Saccharomyces cerevisiae S288C: one gene and its partner. Changing the gene in region 1 together with any one later gene gives a genetic interaction. Each region holds a gene or a part of one and is shown on either strand. Other genes may lie near its edges.

What was found. A genetic interaction does not mean that the proteins touch.
Region 2: mutations in TPM1 (region 1) and CHS3 impair growth when combined (synthetic growth defect), as found in Saccharomyces cerevisiae (4 studies listed by BioGRID, with this or other methods).

Annotation. Positions count from the first base shown.
Region 1 is NC_001146.8:477,048-481,800, forward strand, and holds TPM1 (tropomyosin TPM1), read right to left. Parts: upstream 2,119-4,753; coding exon 1,519-2,118; downstream 1-1,518. Other genes in the region: EOS1 (Eos1p), read right to left, coding at 1-985; NIS1 (Nis1p), read left to right, coding at 2,721-3,944; APJ1 (Apj1p), read left to right, coding at 4,344-4,753.
Region 2 is NC_001134.8:283,928-289,696, forward strand, and holds CHS3 (chitin synthase CHS3), read right to left. Parts: upstream 3,999-5,769; coding exon 501-3,998; downstream 1-500. Other genes in the region: POA1 (ADP-ribose 1''-phosphate phosphatase), read left to right, coding at 1-344; putative thioredoxin peroxidase SCO2, read left to right, coding at 5,518-5,769. UniProt on the Saccharomyces cerevisiae protein: Polymerizes chitin, a structural polymer of the cell wall and septum, by transferring the sugar moiety of UDP-GlcNAc to the non-reducing end of the growing chitin polymer.

The sequences.
Region 1 (4,753 bases):
GGACGACACAAAGAACCGTGATTTTATATAGATCTATCGTTCGCTTAGTGGTAAAATTGAATGCTTTTTTTGGATATTTTTTGGGTCTTTTAGGGCTTTGTGAATGAGAGACTGAGGGCCTGTTAACAGGAAACAATCCGCCATCACTGTTATCGGAGAGACTGTCGTTGGAAGGAACATCTACTGTACTTTCGTCGGCTACCACAACATGTGAGTCTTCATCAGCGTCATCTTCACCATCCTCATAGTCTTCTGTTTCTTCTGGAACATTAGTATCCTCTTGTACTTCGCCTTCCTGGTTCCTGATATACCTCAGATCCGAGGTAAGATAACTTTGCCAAATGTACACTGCTGTTAGTACACAACTAATGAGTATCCATGTATGCAAAAAATAGTCGAGTTCCGGAGACAAAGACGACAAAAGAAGGAGTTCTAAGGTGACAATGATCAATGACATGGAAAACATTCTTAAAATGGCGGCCACAGTAGAGTACTTGACGATCCATCGGACCATCAAAGAGTCGAGAATGGCATACGAGAGGTATAAAGACACCAGGCACCAAAGTGAGCAAAGGAGATATTCAGACGCTCTTGCTGTAGTGAGTGCGGATAATAGGAGTGAATCCTTACCGTCGCCATTCACAGCCTTTTGCGAAGCTCCTTCAAATGATGAGTTATTGTCGTAAGCGCTATTGAGTTTTTGCCAGAAATAAGTGAACGCATCTCTTAGTGATTGTGGCTCGTAAAGCGTTATGCTGGTGCGCATGGAGACTCTCCAAGCCTTCCGCAGAGATGTGAAGATGTAAGTTAACGGCGGTAAAAGGGATATGTCCCTGCATAAGGCCATCAGCATATGCTGCTTGGCAGTTAAATGATTCAAAGACAGCGTTTTCATAGAACTGTACGTCTTTTTAAAGGTCGCTCGCTCATGCTTGGCATACTTGTCCTCATGAGGGCCCATACCAGTACTTAGTATCCACGTCATCTGGTTTTTTAAAACCCTGAAGAATCAAATAAGATTATTTGACCAAAGGAAGGGAAGGGAAGAGAAAAAAAACTTAAAGAAAAAAGAAATGAGAAACCCTGGTGTGTTCACGTAGATGCACAGACGGTGGGCAACCCAAAACTTAGTCTTCCGATAAACTTTTCAGGTTCTTGTACACGTGGAAACGCCCGATATATATCACATGTAGCTGTGTAATATGAGAATGCCTTTGTCCATGTGATAAACCGTGCAAAACTTAACATGGGAGCAGGCACAAGTGTGAGTCCCACGAACAAAACGCCGCTCGGGTAATAACGCCCAATGTAAAAACATCATAAATCAGCACGCAAACGGTAAAGAACAAAAACATCTTCAAGGGAAAAGTATACAGATGTATAGTCTAAGCTATTGTATTTGTATAAATGGTTCTTATTTTAGTTTCGTTTGCCCATGAGCGTTTGATTTGCTCAAGAACAAGGAACAAAGACCAGCGTGTTGGGGAAAAGAAAAAGAAAACAAAAAACAAAAGTAGATCACAAGTTTTCCAGAGATGCAGCAATTTCGTCCAGTTCCTTCTTTGCGTCTTCGTACTTGACGGTCAATTCCTCGTTCTTTCTTTCCCATTCTTCTCTTTGTTCTTCCAAGGCAGCTACTCTTCTTTCCAATTGATCTGCCTTCAAGTCGGACTCTCTCAATTTCTCAGTGGTTTCCTTTAGCTTGGTGTCGCTTTCCTCCAAGTCTTCTTCCAATTGCTGGTTCTTCTTGGAGAAATTGTCGTTGTTGGACTGCAAGTGGTGAGAGTCCTCGGACAATTGCTTGGATTCAGCCAATTCTGCTTCCAACTTCTCGATCTCTTCCTCCAATTGGTGGTTCTTCACCGTCAAGGACTTGATCTGATTTTCTTTTTCAACGTTATCCTGTTCTGTTTGCTTAGAGTCAGAAAGTCCCGCTTCCAGCTTCTCGATCTCATCCTCCAATTGCTGGTTTTTGACGGTTAAAGACTTGATCTGATTCTCCTTTTCGACGTTCTCTTGCTCCAAGTCCTTGTTCTTCTCTTTCAACTCCTCGTACTTCTCCTGCCATGATTCGGCTTCCAACTTCAAGTTGCTTAGCTTTTCTCTGATTTTGTCCATTGTTGCCTTTTTTGTGTGTATGGGGTGTGAGTTCTACTATGTAGATTTCTTCTACCAACCTAATCTTTTACAGTATCAGAAGGGAAAAACGAACCTTCTTCTTGCCAAGTATGCAGTATGTGATCTCTAACACTTTTCCGTTTCTCGTAGATCGTGCTATGGTGTGCTGATTTTTTATTTTAATGGTTACCCGACTTCTTTACCCGGCTCTCCGTCGGGTAAGATATATGTGCTAGCGCCACGCGATGGCTGGTTTGTCTTTTTAAGTTCTTAATATTTATTTTTATATTTTGATTTTTTTTTTTTTTTTTTTTTTCCATTAGTGAATGACAGCAATGTATTAAGCTGCTGCCGCGCATACAAAATGTACTGCGTTAAATTAGATTAGCTTAAATTAGTGCTTGGTAAAGGAGGAGTGGTTTCAAGTCCGGTGTGCGCCCCACTTTATTCGGGTATCTTCTACGTTTTTACATCCATGTTTCAGGTACTGTTGAAAATAGTTAAGATCGTTCGTATTTCTTAATTCATGTATTTTTCCCTGTTCCTAACTCGCAAACATCAGTTTTCTTGCAGATACGTCTTGAAATACAACCATACAGACAATGGAGACATACGAGACTAGCATTGGGACTCAGTCTTATCCCCCGACTTTGTTCCCACCTCCCCTGGGTACCGGTGGGTTTACCACTTCAGGTTATATACATGCGCTTGTGGATTCTACATCGAACTCGAACTCGAACTCGAACACAAATTCGAACACAAATTCGAACACAAATTCAAATTCAGATACCAAGATTCCTATAGTGCAAATATCGGATGACTCTCATATAACACACGACAGCTTCAAACCATATATGGAGTACCACGATGCTTCGCACTTGAGGAACCGTAACATAAGCAAAGCGGACCAGGTTGAAAGCACTGAAGTGATGGAACAGTTTACGCAATGGTCGAATTATAAGATGAGGTCTCGCTCTCCTACCATAAACGCAAAGCCAATTCGACACACTTCACAACGAAGAACAGACTTTACCAGCAAAAATGAACTCTCCAAGTTCAGCAAGAATCATAATTTCATTTTTCACAAAGGGTTTTTGAAGAGGCAACACTCCATACGCAGGGAAGACAGGCAAGCAAAGGTACGGTCAAGATTCAGGAGCAAGAAGGAGCTGACATCCGTTTTGAACTATATAGAACTGGAACAAATGGATATTGCAAATGTCCTGGCTTCGCAACCGGTAAACTTACACGCTATCAGAAATCTCACTAGCAGGGACCCTGCGGTAACTCCTATCCCATTTTTAAGAAGCCAGATGTATGCAACCAGTAGTCGTCCACCGTATCTAAGGAACCGCTCCATAAGTAGGAAACTACCCAAATCACAACCAGGTAGTCTCCCGACGACTATGCCTGCGACGGCGACGAAAACAATTAAACAGAATTCAACGACCCCAACCACAAGATCTGTTTATAACAAGAATGTGGGGCGGTCCAATACTTCCCCTAGTGTGTTGTACCACCCAAAAAGAAGAGGAAAATTGAACACCAAATCGCATGCAAGAAAGGAGCAACTGCTGTTGGAACTGTGGAGAGAATACTTAATGCTGGTTATAACACAGAGGACGCAACTGCGCCTGACTTTGCTTTGCTCTCCGGGTTCAGCATCGAATGAAAGCTCTGTCTGCTCTTCTAACGCCAGCGACTTAGACATGTCCCTTTTATCTACTCCTTCAAGTCTCTTCCAGATGGCAGGTGAGACCAAAAGCAATCCTATAATTATACCCGACAGTCAAGACGATAGTATACTTAGTAGCGACCCCTTTTAAGTAGGTAACCCCCCCTGGATTGCATAGCCATTGCATAGCCTTAGACATCAAACTTTATTTAATCACATTATCCTTCTATGTATCTTTTTCCCCCGCTCGATTTCTTCTAGAACATTACGGAAAATAAAGGAAAAAAATGACTGGAGCATCGAATCTGTAGACTAAAAAGGTAATGACGCGTTCTTCGTTCCCACAAGTATGTGAAATCGTTTGAACGCTTTTATATACTGATAGGAATAGATTATAATAGTATTCAACATTCATCAAACAGTTTATATCGGTAATAAACCAACCTCACGATACAGTGATTATTTCTCTAAACAACACGAGCCGTACTGTACCTACGATAAAGTAAAACACATTTTTCTTTTGCTACCAGTGGACACAAGATAACGGAGAATGCAACAAAACACGTCTTTATATGACTCTTTGAACGTTACTGCCGCTGCATCCACATCTGAGATTAAGAAAGCTTACAGGAACGCTGCATTAAAATATCATCCTGATAAAAACAATCATACAGAAGAATCCAAGCGAAAGTTTCAAGAGATATGCCAGGCATACGAAATACTTAAAGACAATCGTTTAAGAGCTTTGTATGACCAGTACGGTACCACAGATGAAGTCCTGATTCAAGAGCAGCAGGCGCAGGCGCAACGCCAACAAGCCGGGCCGTTCAGTTCATCCTCAAATTTCGATACGGAAGCAATGTCATTCCCGGATCTATCTCCAGGTGATCTTTTCGCGCAGTTTTTTAATAGTTCTGCTACCCCCTCTTCTAATGGCTCCAAAAGCAGTTTTAATTTTAG
Region 2 (5,769 bases), on another chromosome or scaffold:
AATGCATATTACTTCCCAGTTACGAAAACTCAGATCTGCTGATTTGTTGCTTGTTTACATCATCATTTGGAGGTTCAAGTCATGGAGAAAAGCAAAGTATTTTGAATTATACAAAACTTGCTTTAGATAAATTGAAGACCTTTAGAGAAGCAAAAGACAAAACTCGAACAAGTGAAGATTCAATCGGTGACTATTTAAACGGCCACATCAAATACCCAATAGGGGAATATAAATTGGAAATGCCACAGATAAATAGTGGCATATTCGGAGTCCCTTGGAAAGAGACAGAACGCGTGTTAGAAGAATTTAGTGGCGACATGAGTTTTACAGTATATCAGCTGTAATTGCCTTAGCCACGTAATATGTGCCTTTAAAGATAGAGAAATATTTATTTATTAAGTTTTAGTTCTAAGGTGTGTTAAAATACCTCTCAAATAAATAAGTTACACACAACCATATATCAACTTGTAAGTATCACAGTAAAAATATTTTCATACTGTCTATGCAACGAAGGAGTCACTTTCCTCCTTCCGATTGAGAATATCTTCCCTTTCAAATTCCCTCCATGTCCTCATTTTAATCTTTGAGTGATCAAATTCACCTTCATTCTCGTCTTGTGCCTTTTTATTACCTCCCGCAATAGTTCTCGTATCACCCCATGAGAAGTCATCAAATTTCCAGTACGCATATGAAGGTAGTACGAAATTCCAAATAGGCAAAGCACAAATATATACGCACATCCACCATAGGTACGACCATCTCGTAGCAGTTATAACAACAATTAAGCCGGGCAGACCAAGAATAATTGCCAGTAAAACTAAAGTGATTACGGGTGTAGGTTTTGATACAATGGCAAAAATAATGACATAAATAGTAAAGCAAATGGCTAACGGCAGTACCATAGTACCAATCAATTCAATACCAATCACAAATTGCATGGAAAAACAGAAAGTGCCACATAAGTCTCTGATTAGAACTAATTCAAAAAGGTTATGTACCGTAGAATTAATCCATCTTCGACGCTGGGAAAGTAAGACTTTGAATTTATCAGGGGCAATAGTTTTACAAGCAGCTTTTGGAACAAATACTTGCTTTCTCTTAGGGAAAGTCTTTAACATTAATGAAGATAAAAATCTATCTTCACCAAGTAATAATAAGTTCTTCTTATGCAAAGTGTTTGTAACATTATCCGAATATCTTTCAACAATATCTGGATTTGCCAATACAGGTACCCAATAACCATCTGAACCTTTAGGAGATTTTATACGATACATTGAGAAACATCCCGGCAAACAAGTTACCGAACCGAAGACAGATTCAAAAGCTTTAGCCTGATGATGCGAAATATAGTACTCAAACACTTGAATTGCAGTTACCCAAGATTGTGCCTTATTAGCGATCTTGGTCTCACCACAAAGACCCATAATCAAAGGATCTTTAACCATTTCAGCGACCATATGAGTTAAAGCATCGGGAAAGACTTTAGTATCAGCATCAACCATAAGTACCGTTTCGTAGAAGTCTGCCATTAGCCCCGTAATCTGCCAAATATTTTTTAAAAGCTGAAATTCCAATTGAGTCATTCTTTCATCAAATGTTATTTTTTCTAAAAAGGACATCAGAATAATTTGAGAATCACGCTTACCTCTGTTACCGGGTTTGGCGGCCCCCTGCTCTGCAGGAGTACCGCACTTCACAATTGTAATGATTGGGACACGTTGTTGATTTTCTGGTGGAATTGTAGAATCGTCATATTTGTAAAAACCCGCATATATCTTGGCCATATTGTGTCTTTTAGAGCCTGATGCCACTGCCACATAGGAGTAAGGTTTAACTTCATCAGGTGGGGTGACAAAGTCGTCCATCATTCCTAACGCTATCTCTGGAGTAGTCTTATCGTTGCCCGAGCCCTTAATTAAACCATCACAAACAACCATCAGTAGTTTATGGGAATTTGGATAATCTGTGGTAGAAAGAGAGTCTAAAGTGGTTCTTAAACCCTCTTCATCCTCAGAATAACAAGTAACAAAACAGATAGTATGAATCAATGGGAACCCGTATGGCATAAAATCCAGTGGTGGTTGTTGAACGATATCGGGATGTATAATCGTCGAATCAAGACTCTGAATCAGCGATGATCCTGGTACAGGAGAGGAAGTCGCTTTATTCCAAAACATCGAGGATGTAGGCAACAAAGTAGATGGATTACGGGAATGTACAGCTTTGTTTTCATTCGAGAGTTTCCAAGCATTTTGAGTGGTCATTGTTGTCATTCCTCTGTATGAACCAGAAGATTGTAGTGAACTGCTCATGGAGGTGTCTAGATCTATCACAGATTCGTTAAATTGAAACATTTTGGAGCTGTGTTTTTTCAGCAAGTCAAAGGTTGAAGCACGCTTGTGTCCCAACGACTTTTTTGAGTATTTCTTTGGCCTCAAATGAGGATCTACTTCCTTTAGAGGAGCTTTTGTTTGAATATTATTAGACCAATCCTCGATATCGTTTGTGTGTTTATCCATTGTTTTATTGTCCACGATATATGCACCTTGTTTCCTAGCTACAGTCCAACGGAAGTAGCAGGCAATTATGAATTTAATTATCACCACTGAAAGAATAAATACCAGAGAAACATACAAAACGACATCAGAGGCAATACAACCGACGGTTTTGGAGTCTACTTCACCAACTTTAATAATTTCGCTCAAACATCTCGCAATTTTTCTTTCATGCCCATTTGACAAAACCAACGAAAGATCATAACCTTGTAAATTTGAAGTCTTCAAGTCATCGAATACAACGGGATAGTCAACGTCATCCTTTTCCAACCAATCAAGAAGATCTAAATCCAAAACGTCGCCATTATAAACAATCAAGTTTCTAGAAGAGTTCTTTATACCATCCCAAGTGAAGTAAACATCAGCTTTCGACTTTAAACCGTAAAATGCGTCCCTATCTTCTTTAGACGTATGACAGTTCCATCCTGCGTAATTTTCAACTGTGAAGTTTGGCTTCGAAGAGCCATCTTGATTCTTTAACTTACAAGGAAAATACCATGCTAAATTATTATCATCGTCATGGGGAATGGAAGAATTACTCTTTGGAGTTATAAGGTTATGACAGTTACCATTCACATTTTGAAACAAGAACGAAGCATCTTTACCAGCATCTGACCAGGGCCCATAAAGGGTGTCTGAATCTACTTCAACGTCTTGTATACCGGAACGCGAGGAAGTATCCAATTCATAAGCCTTACCGTTAATTACGACAAATTCTGTTGATACTTCGTTGTTTTTCAAACGTAGTTTCGAACTACTACAAACGGTTTTAGTGAAACCAAAAGTCAGGAAAGCCACAATCGCACCAATGTACAAGATGACAGAAATTAAAGCAACCTTTTCTCTCCACGCCATTTGTCTTTCCTTCTTTGGCATCCCGCAGAAAGCAAGAATTGGAGCAGGTGCCCAAAACGTAATGAAATAACAGTACATCTGCCAAAATGACAATGTATCATTCGTTTCCTTTCTTAATGGTTTGATAGACTTATTTATGGGCTGCGTGGAGCTTTCTTCGAAATTGTCCACATCACCATCTTTATCAAATTCGTCTTCCGCAACACCTTCATCACTTATTTTAACGGAAGCCTTCTTGTCAGTAGTATTCATATCTTGTAAAAGATAGCTATCCGTTTCGCGGCCACTAAATTTGCTTCTCACTGAGCCTTTGGAGCGCAGGGAGCCACTCCGACGAGTTGCATTTGGGTTTACACCGGTACTTGATGGTAAAACATCCAGGTGATTCATCTGCTCCTGCGTTTTCTGCGCATAATAAAAATGTGGATTATCAGGATTGTTCAGTCGGCTTCTTTCGGGCCGCACTAAAGAGCCTTGTCTATGAGGTGCTCCTGAGCCGACACTGTGTCTTGACCTAAGTAGAGACTCTTCATCTTGATTAAGGTTCAGATAGTAGTCATCAGGATCATCTCCATTCAAGCCGGTCATTCTAATTTCTTTCCTGCGGATAGTCTAAACAGGACCTTTGAAGAAAATGGGACCTACACCAAAAATACTCGAGAACTTTGCAAATCGGTAAACGTTTATAACCGTCTACCAATGTGATTCTTCTAGCAGGATTTACTACAAGTCGAAATGTTGGTACTGAATGTAAATCTGAAACACAGGAAAGAATATTTTTGATTTCTATTTTTATGCTCTTATTTTCATTTTTGATTTTTTTTTTCGAGGTCTGCGCCAGCGCCAATAACGCGTTTTATCCAAATAGGCAGCCAAAGAGGGTCACCTATGCAGGTGCTGAATGCAATACAACTGCGGGCTAACTGTCCATCGACGCTATTGAATATGCTTCAAGAAATATCCAGTCTCATGCACATGTCAAATATGTGGGTGAGGGCGCAAATACAACGCACGATTATATATACATTTGTGGCTACGTAGTACGTGCGGAGATAGGCAGGTATTTGTTCAAGGATGTAAATAAGAACTACAATGCTTAGTTCTCGAATCCTAGAATGTGAGTAAATCTCACAAGCACCGCTTCTATAAATTTGTCTAGGGTAATTTGTAATCTTTTCCCATGCGGATTCTCTTAAATACGGTACAGCCGTCGCTGCTGCGGTGTGATTCTGGTTTCATAGATCTGGAAAAAGAAAGCGAGACACAATACAAGAGCTTTGTGACACAGCGTACGGAGAGAATAAGATAAAGAACAGTTCCTGGCGTTTTTAATTGAACTTTTGTACTCGTCTCTTTATTCTCACGAATTTTTTTACCGCCGTTTTCATTTCCATTGCAAAGGAGGGAAAATATAAATGTTTTTATAGAGGCAGTATATCTTTAATTTCATAGCATATGCAGTTTAGAAAAAAGACGTAAATTCGTTGCCCTAGTCACGCTGGTTACATAAATTGGTCGTTGAATTGACTTTTAAGACATCCAGTTGGTGTGTTTGCTCCAAATAGTGCTGACGCATCTTGCCAATTCTCGTCAATTTAGCACGGAATGCTTGTTACTTATTCGATAACGCTTTTACCTTGATTGCATGTAGTCACTATCCTCAAACCTTTTCTAAGGTTGCCCTATTGGCGACAGAAAAGCAGGACGAGAAATCTAAATAACCAACGTGTGGTTTATTAACTATGACGGTTGGTTTGCTTGCCGCCCCAAGTTATAGAAGACTGCCCTTCATCCCGGGGTAGCTATCATAGAATCTGTCGATAGTTACAATTTTGGGTGGGGTGTTTTCAAAAATGGACGGATATGCCGGTCTTTGAAACTTCGATGATGTAGCCTATTGTTTTAATTTTCTGCTTGATCCTTTCGCTCTTTTTAGGGATAAAAAAGAAAACCTAACAAAGTATGAATTTCGAGAAGTCCCATCGATAGTAGTCAAACAATTGCTAAAGAGGGCTACGGATCGTCTACAATACCTTCGTAAAACAGCAGCTTACAGGATCTTTTATAATATCACCATAGAAAGGGGAATTTGGGAAGCGAGAGTAAAATGTTGAATAGTTCAAGAAAATATGCTTGTCGTTCCCTATTCAGACAAGCGAACGTCTCAATAAAAGGACTCTTTTATAATGGAGGCGCATATCGAAGAGGGTTTTCAACGGGATGTTGTTTGAGGAGTGATAACAAGGAAAGCCCAAGTGCAAGACAACCACTAGATAGGCTACAACTAGGTGATGAAATCAATGAACCAGAGCCTATTAGAACCAGGTTTTTTCAATTTTCCAGATGGAAGGCCACCATT